Linked DNA regions of Coturnix japonica. The protein of the gene in region 2 interacts with the protein of the main gene of each other region in a pairwise test. Links are inferred from orthologs where the notes say so. Each region holds a gene or a part of one and is shown on either strand. Other genes may lie near its edges.

What was found.
Region 1: the proteins of LNX1 (region 2) and DNPEP interact in a two-hybrid assay, tested with the Homo sapiens proteins (3 studies listed by BioGRID and IntAct). The link is inferred for Coturnix japonica from reciprocal best matches to the Homo sapiens genes LNX1 and DNPEP.

What each region holds. Positions count from the first base shown.
Region 1 is NC_029522.1:24,542,539-24,548,830, forward strand, and holds the start of DNPEP (aspartyl aminopeptidase), read right to left. Parts: upstream 4,086-6,292; 5' UTR 4,064-4,085; coding exon 4,058-4,063; intron 3,942-4,057; coding exon 3,860-3,941; intron 3,789-3,859; coding exon 3,700-3,788; intron 3,617-3,699; coding exon 3,503-3,616; intron 3,321-3,502; coding exon 3,195-3,320; intron 3,086-3,194; coding exon 2,955-3,085; intron 2,717-2,954; coding exon 2,632-2,716; intron 2,171-2,631; coding exon 2,063-2,170; intron 1,831-2,062; coding exon 1,753-1,830; intron 1,450-1,752; coding exon 1,369-1,449; intron 1,112-1,368; coding exon 951-1,111; intron 830-950; coding exon 790-829; intron 448-789; coding exon 346-447; intron 1-345.
Region 2 is NC_029519.1:59,283,327-59,288,883, reverse strand, and holds part of LNX1 (E3 ubiquitin-protein ligase LNX), read right to left. Parts: intron 1,534-5,557; coding exon 1,277-1,533; intron 1-1,276.

The DNA.
Region 1 (6,292 bases), on a different chromosome or scaffold from region 2:
AGTGGAGACATGGGGTGGGCAGCTGCTCCCAGAGCCACACGGCCTCCCAAGTGACTCCCAGAAGGGTTAGTCCTAATGGGAGACACACTGGGATGGGGGAGCTGCACAGTCTGGATGCTAAGATGCTAAAGCCCCCAGAGAGCTTCAGACAGGTCAGGTCAGACCCGCACTCCCTGCTATACCCTGAGCTTGCTCATCAGGTCACCTGGCACAGCAGGGCACTGCAGACACCAGCAGGCATAAGTACAGTAGCAGAGAGTTAAGTTCCTGATACTGGTCCTGCCCTCCAGCACCCGGCTTCAGCAGGAACTGGTGATGGAGCTGTGCTCACCCAGCTGTGCTCACCTGCAGGGGAACACCCACACGGGCCGCGATGTCCCGGATGACTGCCTCAGTGACAGCTGTGGAGGCGTAGCGCTGATTGCTGTTCACTTTGATGACAGGGCCCTGCGAAAGAGAAGATGCAGAGCTATGGCACAGGGACACACTCTATTACTTACATAGTTCTAAGTGCCCAGTGCCCAGGAGAGACCCACAGTCAGAAATGCTGTGCCACCCCCTGGATCCTACAAGTGAACAGCCCCAGCTCTAAGCCAAGGGAGATGTCCACAGATAGGGCTGTGGTTCTATGTAATTAACTCCAGCAATGTGGCACAAGTGCATTGTGTGGCAGGACAAAGGTCTCCTGTGAAACTGCTGCCAAGTTGCACTCTGGGCAGTGTCTGTGTGTTTCACTGCTGAACAGACAGATGGCAGCAGGTCTGGCACAAAGCAGAAGGCTGCGCTCACCTTGTGGAAGGCTGGCCGATGATTTTCCTCATGCTTGTCCCTGCAAAAGAGAAGGAGTTTCATGCTGCAATCCCCATTACAAGAACTGTCCTGCCACTACGCCAGCAGGAGTGCAAAAGATGCGTCCCCACGTGCAACGTGGCAGGGTTCAGAGTACTCACACGTAGTTAGGGTGCACCGCATGGGCCATGTCAGCACTGATCATGTAGGACTTGGCCACAGCCTCCTCAAAGGCTGTCAGGTTTTGTGGTGATGCTGAGATTCGACGCAGCACCAGCTCTGTCAGAAGGGACTCGGCACCCTGCGCACTCTCTGACCCTACCTGCCAGGAAGACCATCAGCACAACCCACCCAGCAACACCCCAGCCACCTCCAGCGCTCCATGTCAGCTGAGGGATAGCAAGCTCCCCACACCCAGCAAAGAGGCTTCCAACTCACTCCCTGCCAGGCCCAGGGTGGGGTGAGCAAACCCTATGGTGCTCCATGGGTGGCTGGGATGTAAGTCCTAATCATTGGTGGAAGGAGAACAGAACACAGAGCCCCTGTGTGTGCCAGCTGCCCCACGGCTATGCCCCTCACCTCCTCGTTGTCATAGAGTGCAATGAGGCGCACGTTGGGCTCCTGGGAGAGGGAGGGAGCTGTGCACGAGTCAATCAGTGCCTGGAGAGACAGAGGAGGAGAAGGAGCACTAGCGTAAGTGCCACCCCATCCTAGGAAGCTCAGCACTGAACTGGCTGGAACATCCCCAGGAAAGTCTAAGGCACCAAGGAAAGGAGCTGTGGGTACATTGGAGATGCTAGGAATGCCACACACCCAGCACAAGGGGGCAGCCACTGTCCAACCCCAGGCCCTTTGACGAGCAAGGATCCCTGCAACAGGACCCAGCTAACAGACCAGCAAAGCTAAGTCAAGACACAAGAGGGCCATGACAAAGCCCCAAGGCTCCTTCCTTCCTTCTCTCACCTGCAGAGCACAGTAGCAGCTGTGCAAGTTGTCCAGACGTGGGGAGAAGATGAACTCATCAAAGGCACCACCAAGAGTCTGCAGTCAAAGAACAAGGAGTAGGGCACAGGTTTGGGGACAACAAAGAGCAGGTGTGATGTGTCTCCAGCCCAGTCCCCACCTCTGCCCCCTAGAAGGCATTTCCTTTCAGTCGGTTCAGCTCCCAGCCCTGCATGCCCCAGGCAGAGGAAGCGTGCTGTGCATGGGAGCTGGGCAGTGCCAGCCTGCAGGCATGTTGCATACAGGTAGAAGGAGGCTCTGTTGTACTCACCGCTGGCTGCGTATCCGCCAGGCATAATTCCAGCTCCACAATCTGCTCTGGTTTCACTCCCAGCTGGGAGCAGAGCAGGGAAAGCAGGACAGGGCTGTGTCTCTCTGTCTGGGAAAACAGCAGAGCTGTGGGCAGTGCAAAGTGATGGATGGCAGAGAAACTTTCCCATTCCTTCCTCACACTGCAGTCCTAGGCTTCCTGTCTACTCACATACTCTGCATCTGAGCACTCAACCCACAAAGGGCAGCAGTGGTGCTCACAGGGCATAGTGAGGGGCTCTCTCCCATTGTTCAACCTCCCCTCCCTCCTCTGAGAGAAAAGGGGGGGCCATACATGACAGCTTTATGGGGGATTTCCACTTTTCTTTAGGATGAATGCAGGCTAGGGTGGGAACAGACAACAGTGGAGCACATGTGCTGTGTAAGTGGTTCTGAGTGGAGCTGAGAGCAAGTAGCTGTGAATGGGAAGGACGAGAACTTGCTGGCAGGGAGCTCTGAGGACTAGAGATCAAAAGATGGCATGTGAGAGACCTTAGTGAGCCTCCCCCTTGTCCTTAGGAACCCACTCACCTGGGCTGCAGCAACGCCAGCTGTGCGCTCTGTGGATGGTTCTTTTTCCAGCTCCTCCTGCACAGCAGTAGCCAGTATGGGAACCCTGTGGGGAGACAGTGTCAGCAGCTGCCAGGCCATTGCTTACCCCTTGGGGACTGGCTGAATGGAGCAAGGACACTCTAAACTTAAAGCACAGACCTACTGTGCCACCTTAGGACACCCCAGTGCTAATCCCCAAGCCCTTCACTATAAGTGAAGCCATTGTTGTCCACCCCACTGCAATGAGGGATAGAACAGGGGCTGGGCACCGCTGCAGCTGTGAGGATCGAGCCAGGCCTTACAGGTGGTGCTCGGTGTTGGGTCCAAAGTTCTCATTGATGCTGCGCTGCAGATGGATGGCCAGATGGGGGATGCGGAGAATGGGCCGTTCCACACACACCAGCCGCTGCTCCAGTCGCCCTGTGTTTGGCTCCTGAAATACCAGCAGGACCATTAAGCTGCCTCACTGGGCCAGGTCTGCAGGACTCAGAGGTGGCAGGAGCAGCAGCGTGTTTTACCCCACAGCCCCCAGCCGGGCTCACCTTGACGATCACCCTTCCTGCCACAGTGAGGTCACGGTCAAACCATGTGTTCCAGATGCCTCCTCCATAGGTCTCCACACCAACCTGCACCGTGCCCACCTGCCCTCGCTTGGAGCGTCGCTTCACCTGGATGGATGCAGAGATGACACCAGGGATTGGGACCGGGAAGAGCATGCCCAGAGCCCACCAGCGTGCCTTGAAGTGCTTGGTAGGGAGGGGAACGCAAAAGTGGAGCAATGCGGGGAGTCAGCACCCTGCAGGGGGGGACAGGGAGATGTCAGAGCAATAAGGCATCGGGAAGGTCTCACCCTGAGGCAGGGGCTGTCGGTGTGTGCCCCCAGCAGGCTGAACCCATTCCCCGGCTGGAAGCGACCCCCGACGGCGAAGGCAATGAGCGTGGAGTAGTTCCTGGTGACAAAGTACTGCGGGGAGGAGGAAGGGGGGCGGTGTACGGAGCAGGACGTGACAGCCGCGCTCCCCACGTGCCCCCCAGCCCCGGTCCCACCTTGCAGGAGGGGCGGATGTCCCAGTGCTCGGTCTCCTTCAGCTCCTGGAAGCCGGCCTGCAGCAGGCGGCTGCGGCACTCGGCCACCACTGCGGGGAAGGCCCGGTCAGACGGCTGGCTCAGTTACAGCCGGTAGAGGGGCGGCGGGGGGGGCTCTTACCATGGTACGGGGACGGGCCGCGGTTGACGAACCTCACCAGCTCCTGCGCCGCCGCCTGCACGGCCTGCTTCGGACCCACCGCCTGCGGGCACCCACACCGGGCTCAGCCGGGAGCCGCCCCGCTCCCCGAACCCCCCCATCCCTCCCGGTACCGAACCCCCCCCCCAACCCCGTGCTCCGCTGCCGCCCGCCCGGTACCTGCATGGCCGCCACCGCCCCGCCCCCCCTCCCGCTCTCCCCCCTCTCTGACCCCCCGTCAAAGCGAGACCTTGGTGGCACATTGAAACTGGAATCTGGGCCTGGAAACTGGTGGTCCGGCTGCCGTGACCCCGGCAGCCCTGAATCCCAGCCCAGCACCTGCCTTACCCCTCAATAAAATAAAAAGGAACGGGCCCCCCTGCCGGGCACACAGCCAGAGGACAGCTGGGGGGTCTCCATGCCAACCGCGGCCATCACAGCTAAACACAGGGCGTGCCGTATCCACGGCCTGCAGCCTCCTGCCGGGGGGCTCGGGGGGCTCGGGGTATGTGGATCAGCTGCGGGCCCCCAGGGCAGGGGGTGCTCGCTTAGTCCCCAATGGATGAGTATGGGATCGGGGTGCCGGGGGTGCGGGGTGAGTGGCGGGGCCGGGTGTGGCCCCGCTGCAGTGGGCAAAGGGCAGCGCCTTGGCACGCGGCTGCTAATTCCCAGAGCCGCAGGGGCTTCCTGGAAAAGCTGCCGGCGGCTATTCCTGGGTGCTCCCTGACTCACCCTGCACCTGCCGCCCCATCACTGCCCCACCCTGCAGCGCTCAGTGCGGCACGGACCCTCGTGTCCCACCACGGGGCTCCTGAGTGCGCCCACGGGTGCCGTGCCCCTTCCCGTGGCTATAGGGCCGTGCGGCTGGAGCTGAGCCCCGCTGGAAGGGGTTAAGGGCCAGGCGGCCAGGATGGATGCGCAAAGCTCCGGGAAGGGCCGCCCCTTTCTCCCCCCAGGCACCCGCCCTGCCGGGATGAGAGCAGGGATGGCACCCGACTGCTGCCGAGCCCCCACCCCAGGACACGTGTCGCTGCATGGGAAAGTGAAGTCAGCGGCCGCGCATTGCTGGAGGCTGAGCGCACGGCCGCCCTTACGCCAACCACCAGCCATGCGGTGGGACGGGAGCTGCCTCATCTCACTGGTATGGGTGATGCCATCGAGGCCATGGAGATGGACAACACAGCATCCTTCTGGGCCGTGAGGGTGGCGAGTTATCCCACATCTCTGTGGGCTGCCAGGACAGCTGTGGGCATCCCCACGGCCTGTGACACAGATGGACATCTCTGCATCCCCATGGGTCACAGTAGATGTGGCTGATGGGTGCAGGCAGCCTCACAGGGCGTAGAGGTGGCTGTCTCCCAGCATCCTCACTGGGCCATAACAAGTGCCCCCACAATGTCCCCATGGATGAAGGTGACAACACATCAACAGGTGACAACTCACATGGATTGAGGGGGCCATGCCCTTCATTCATATGGATTTTGGGGTCAGCCAGCCACCCCCAGCATCCCCATGGCACTCAAGGACAAGCAGCCACCCCCAGCATCCCTAATCCTGGGGCAGGAGGGATGTAGACTGGGGCTGCTGTGTGCCCATGCTGACAGCATGAAGGGAGCAGCAAACAGTGGCTTCTGGGGGCACCCAGGGCTCCATGGGACCCCAGTATGCTGGCTGGGCTGCACTCCAGGCACGGAGGAAGAGTGATCTCCTATTTAGACAATAGCACGCGCCTAAGAGAACAGGCGCCTGCTCCTTCCCTCTTAGGGTAAAGGCGCCTCGGAGGCTCGTGTCTGTAAAAGGAGCGGGATGGAGGGAGACGGCCGGGGGCCAGCAAAGTGGGGGGGACACCCTGGCTGCTCCTTTCTCACCCGCATCAGGAGGAGGCCAGGCAGGGCCTGGACCTGCCCAGCAGCACTGTGATACGAGACCCAGTGGCAGCTGGTGCCCCATCCCTGCATCCCGCCTGGCTGCAGCCCCCAGTGCCCGCAGCCCCAGGGAGGCTGTGCCCGGATCCCCGCGTGCCTTAAATCCTGGGGGAGCAGCAGGGAGGGAGGGCCATGGAGGAGGGCCGGCTGCGGGTTGCAGCTGGTTTGGCTCACGGCGTTGTTTGACATTCTGGCTCCCGATGCCTTCATCCCGGGGCCCTGCGGGAGCTGGGGCCAAGCCAGCACTGGGGATTGGGGCCCCGTTCCCAGGCTCCGTCTGGGTCAGCATGGCCTGGGCTGGAGCCGAATGATGCTGAGCGTGGTGGGGGATATCGCTTGGGTCCACAACTGGAGGGACCACGCTAAGTTTGTCCCCAGTGCTGTGGAGTCGGACAAACCCAGCACGTGGCTGAGGACCCATTTGCCCACACCTCCACTTCCCGCTCCTCCCGCCTCCTTACTGAACCGTGGGGAAGGGAATTTCCTAAGA
Region 2 (5,557 bases):
CCAGCATCATTTCTACATCCTCTGACAGATAACAGAGCCAAACAGCAACACTTTGGTGTTGTGACTACAAGACAACACCCACCTGTATAGAGGTACAATTATCGCACCTCTGTCCCACACCCTGGCACTAACACCTCTCCTGTCTATTCTGCCAGCTACATGCAGATATCTGTACCTGCAAGCGTGGCAGTGTGGGAGAAAATAATCCACTACTGCTTCAAAACCCTGCAGTGCTTCCAATCTGCCAACAATAGCCAGCAGTTTGATGACAAAAATTCCGGGGTTGTCAGGTGGGAGGGATCTACTAAGTTACATCTTCTAACTTGGGTAAGACAATACAAGAAAAATCATAATAGTTTCAAAACATTTCACTCTCCATCCTACTGAAGATATCGTCACGGCTGTTGCTGCTCTCTCTTTGAGCTCTTCATGCTCGTCAAACATTGTAATCTAATAATACAACATCCCCCCAAACCAGACTGCAGCTTCTAAACTCTGGTGGGATTTAATTTCATCCTGATGTTCTTGCTCGCCCCCTTTCCATCTCTCTGTTGCTGTATGCATGGAAGGGAATAGAGCTGCATTTTGTTTAATCTTCCTTCAGCCCTTCATCCATTCTCCCAGCACAGAGCTGGTGCAACACGAAGCTTGTGAAATACAGTTTTGGCTTCAGAGAACACAAATACAAGATTTCACCTCATTGTTAATACTTCTGTGTCAACCATATTTTTCAGTCACAATGCTCATCAGAGCCAGCTGATATACTATGCCACAGGGTGAAGAAACAAGGTGAGGAGCATATTGAAATAACTGTTGTTATTTCAGCAGGAACAACAGTTCTAAAGTGCACCTCTCTGGGAGTCTGGCAAACACTCCCCAAGCTCCCAGAAACCTCTTATCATCTGTTTTACTGTAAATACTTGTCAACAGCCAAACATGGTACCCATAAGATTTCTGCATAGGTGCCCATCACATAGTCTGTAGAGTCTACTTCGGCCATCATGTTTTGTTGAAGACACTGCTGCACCATCTCCCTGGCACTTCACAAACCCCAAAGGAGCTAACTTGCCTAATAATCTTTCTTGAGACCTCCAATTTGCCTGTGTGCAAGCCTTCAGATTAATGTTGCCCCTGGGTAAGAAAATTTGTTTTTCACCTGAAATATATTGGGTCAATGAAGGCCCATTTGGAAAAACCATTTAAAACAACATCATCCACCAACACACATTTCACAGAAAACAGATGCTGGAAGAGTCCACCAGGCTCCAAAACCAACCATTTGGGTCCTTACTTCTGCTGTGGTTGCTGCTGTGCAGGTCCCTGGGGCCACTACCCGACTGGCTGTCCTCCGAGGTGGGGCTGAAGGCTGGGTTCACCAGCCCCGGCTCATCGGTCATTAAGGCGATGGCTGCAGCTGCAGAGAGCTCAGGGCTCAGAGCAGCTACTGCCAGGCTGGAGCTGCGGTCTGGGGAGCAGTCCTGGGAACGCCGCTTCCGTTCCTTGGTAAGGCCATAGTGGGATGCTCCTTTGCATCTGTGGAGAAGGTAAGGAAAGGAGATGTGATTACAGACTGTACTGAAATGTTGCCTAATTATGGAGATTGGCCAGTTCTGAGGAATTACTCAGAATGCAAAATGTGACTGTCACCCTGATCTCAGCTCTGGTCAGCCTGCCTGGTCACCATGCAGTGACACCAGGAGCCTGGTACCACACTCTTTCGTCCTCTCCAATCTCAAGGCTGGTTCTAAAACAATTCCAGGGAAAAATCCAGCTCCTAAATTCTGACCTGGCTTTAGTAATGATAAAATCCTCCATTTCTGATGGAGAGGAGTGTACTCCCAGATATAACCAACTTGTGACCCCAGCTGTCTGCTCTGGGCTCATCCCAGACAGCAAGAATGGGACAATGCACGGCATTTCCTTCTCAGACTTCCTAAAGACCATCACTCCAAGTAAATTAAAGATCGCAGTGCTCTTCTTGGTTCAATATTTAATTAAGGCTATAAAACAACCAAAGAGACAGAGTGGCCCAAGGAGACAGCACCTGTGACTTCTCCTCCAGCCCTGTGAACCCCCTAGAACCTCATTTACAACATTAGAACAGAATCCACCTTTGAATCGTGACCTAATGAGCTCGGCCTACTATTTGCTGCTACAGTTCTCTCTTTTTTCATAGCAGAAGCTAACTGATGACTTTCATAAAAATACCCTGCAGGACAAACTCACAGAAATAGCTGCAGAAATCCTTAGGGATAGAAAGCTCTTCGTAATATATGGCATGCACAAAAGGCAATGCATAATACATACCGTACACAGTGCTAATGGGTTAAGTGTCAGAGAAAAAGTAGTATGCTGAGTAGAGGTCTTAGGAGAGAAATGATTTATGGAAGCAGTGCCTGGGACAGAAAGATGAGACGAGGATGAATCGCAGAGCTCTCTGTGTCAGCTTAGGAGCAGTGACTTAAATTCTCTTGCAGTATTTGCTTTTTAAGAGGGAATTAAATTAACTTTTTAAAGCACCGAATTATGATTTACCATCACTTACCTCATACCACTTTGGATAACTTCCCTCTCACAGAGGAAAAAAAACCAAGCTGTATCACACTGATGCAGCTGTGTGGGAGCTTTGTACATGCTTTAAGCTTTGGATGGGAATGCCTGTGGCAGAAGCTATTTCTAAACCCTTTCATAAGCAAAAAGATACATCTCAAAAGAAAATACTCCCTTGTGGAAAAGAGAGTTGCTTGACTATTTCAAAAGATCAACAAGATCTGTTCCAAGACAAGGCTGTGAGAAGGAAGGGAGGAGCCCTCCTGCCCCCATTGCAGTTCCTTCTCCCATAAACACGGTATAAATTCACCACTTGCTTGAGCTCTGTCAAGCTGTATGTTCACCAGAACCTTGTTGCTGGGGAGTCATTCCTGTGAATGAATCCTAAAAGGCAGATGCTTTATTATTTTCATTGGGTTGCATGAAGATGAGCATGAAGCATCTCCTGTGTAACTAGTGACAAGACTAGAGTAGGCCTTAAGTTGCACCAAGGGAGGTTCAGTTGGATATTAGGAAAATTCTCTTCTCTGAAAGAGTGGTCAGGTGCTGGAATGGGCTGCCCAGGGAGGTGGCTGAGTCACTGCCTCCAGAGATGTTCAAGAAACATTTAGATGTTGTACTAAGTGATGAGGTATAATTGAGGAATACTGGTGGTAGAGGAATGGTTGGAATAGATGGTCTTGGAGGTCTTTTCTAGCCTTGATAATTCTATGGCTCTATGATCAGAAGGGGCTTCGTGCAAAGATTTCTCCATACAGCTGGAGGGTCCAGCTGCTATGGGTGCCCATCTGCTCAGTGCGGCTGACTTCACTTTTCCATGCAAATATTCCCTTGCTGCTGCTGGTGCTACAGACACCTGGTCACCAGCATCTGTCCAACTGCAGGAGAAGCCTTTGAATGCAGAGAGGACTGATGGAGTTTAAGATGTGGCTTATTGGAGAAGACAACTTATCATGACACAAAACACAAAGCATATCTTTCTAATTCTGCCAGAAATAGTTAAAAGAGAAGCAAAGCTCTTCAAGCATAAGCACTGAATCTATTTCTTAAATAACTGTGGCAGGAATAAATGAACACAAGACAAGCCTTCTTTCTTCAGATTAACACAATGTCCTTGAAGAATGAAAAAAGTCCTCAAACTTGTAATAAAATCTGCAACAGCATCTCTTCACTTTCATTGTTTTCCTTGTGCTGACACTGCTGTGATAACAGAAAACAGAAAGAGACAACTGTCTAAGTGGAATCATATTTATAGTGTCTCAGCTACATTTTTCCATATGGTTGGGTTTGGCTCCCAGAAAAGAAAGATCCATAAAACAGCTACATGCCACTACTAATTATCTCCCTCACTGTGATTATTAATCAGCTGCCTGATTTACAGCTGGAAGAGAGGGATGGAAATCCCAGCAGGATACCTGACTAACGGGGGGCAGCCCTAGAGTGAGCCCAGTGCTGTCTGGTGGCCAAGGTGAACTGCAGATTTATGTTCCTTCTCAGTTGCTCTGGACAGAGCATAATTCCACGCAGCTGCCTGATATCAAAATGATTTGAAGGCCAAAAGTGGGAGATAAAAACAGACATGAAAAATGCAGAGTACAGCCCGTGACATCCAAGTAGCGTCTCTAGGTGTGCATGAGAAATCTGGAAAATGGTTTCTTCTGTTTGCACAACCTCTTTTGTCAAGCAGCAACATGCCATCTGAAATACTGGCTGCATGATGGTTATCCTCTGCTTAGGGAAGAATTGCTCCCTCCTGCTGTGGCAGCAAGTCCAGGAGGGACTGGAGCCACAGCTCTGATCACTTACTCCATGGCCTCTGATAAAACCCAGGCCAAAACAGCTTCAGTATAATAGCTCCCTTCTGATCTTACGTTGCAAAAAGCCTCCCACAAACTGATCTTGGAAGGCCATAGTGGCTGTTGAACCTTCACCCGGTGCAGTAGACTTAGCTGCGGGTTTACCATGGCTGTGCCTGGCTCTGCATGCGAGGGGTCCTGTGGTCCCATCCCCAGGGGCAGCACGTCCCAAGTGAGGACTGAGGGATCCAGAACCACATGTCTGCCTTAACTTGGTCTTACTGCTTATCAAAACAAACTTCTGCCAAACCCACAGCCAACAGAAACATTTCCAAGTTATTGCAAATTCAAGTGAAAGAAGCAGTTTTAAAACAAGGATGCATTTCCCCTGCAAAATCCCTAACTCACATTGTGGAGCAAGAAGAGATGCAAAGTGAAGGACTTCCATCACCCTGGTGGATGCAGGAGTGAAACATTAAGACAAACAAGGGAAACCTGACAGACATTTCAATTCTAGTGATGAAAATGCACATCTAGTGATAAAAATATAACACCTTTTCTCTCCGATAAACACTCTGCCTTCCGTCTGTGCCACCTCTCAGGCCAGCCCTCCCCAGCTCACAGCTGACTGTCCAGACAGGGGCTGGCAATGGCTCTGGAGCAGCAGCAGCAGCGCTCAGCCATGCTGTGCTACAAGCAAACGGAGCAGCGGCGGTACCCGCCCATGTCGCACCGCTCTTTCCTGACCTCACTCCCGTCGTTGTCTTGTTTTGGTACTGTTTTGTTTCAACGCAGCTGCGGCGGACACATTGTCTGAGTGCAATTAAGAATAATGTATACAAAGTACTCACGAAAATACAGCATAATGGGCTGTCATCGCTGATCCCAAGCTTGGCCCTGATTAGGGCAGGCAAGTATGTTTCGGCTATGCCCTCGCTGCAAGCAGTCTCATCCTTGTGTAATTTGGGCTCCATACAAGCCAGGATCGGGGTACCAACAACGTGCATCATACCCTGACTGCATCATACAGCCCCCTGACTGCTACTACTCCCACATGGATCTGTCAGAAAGGCTGATGGAGACACTGAAGGCCACCAACATCCCCATAACCCTCCTTGTGAGGCTTCCTGATGTGAACCTGCTGAGAGGTCCATACCTTACCTGTAAGGCAGAAGGGATCTGAAACACTGTGGCTGCCTCACAAAGAGGTG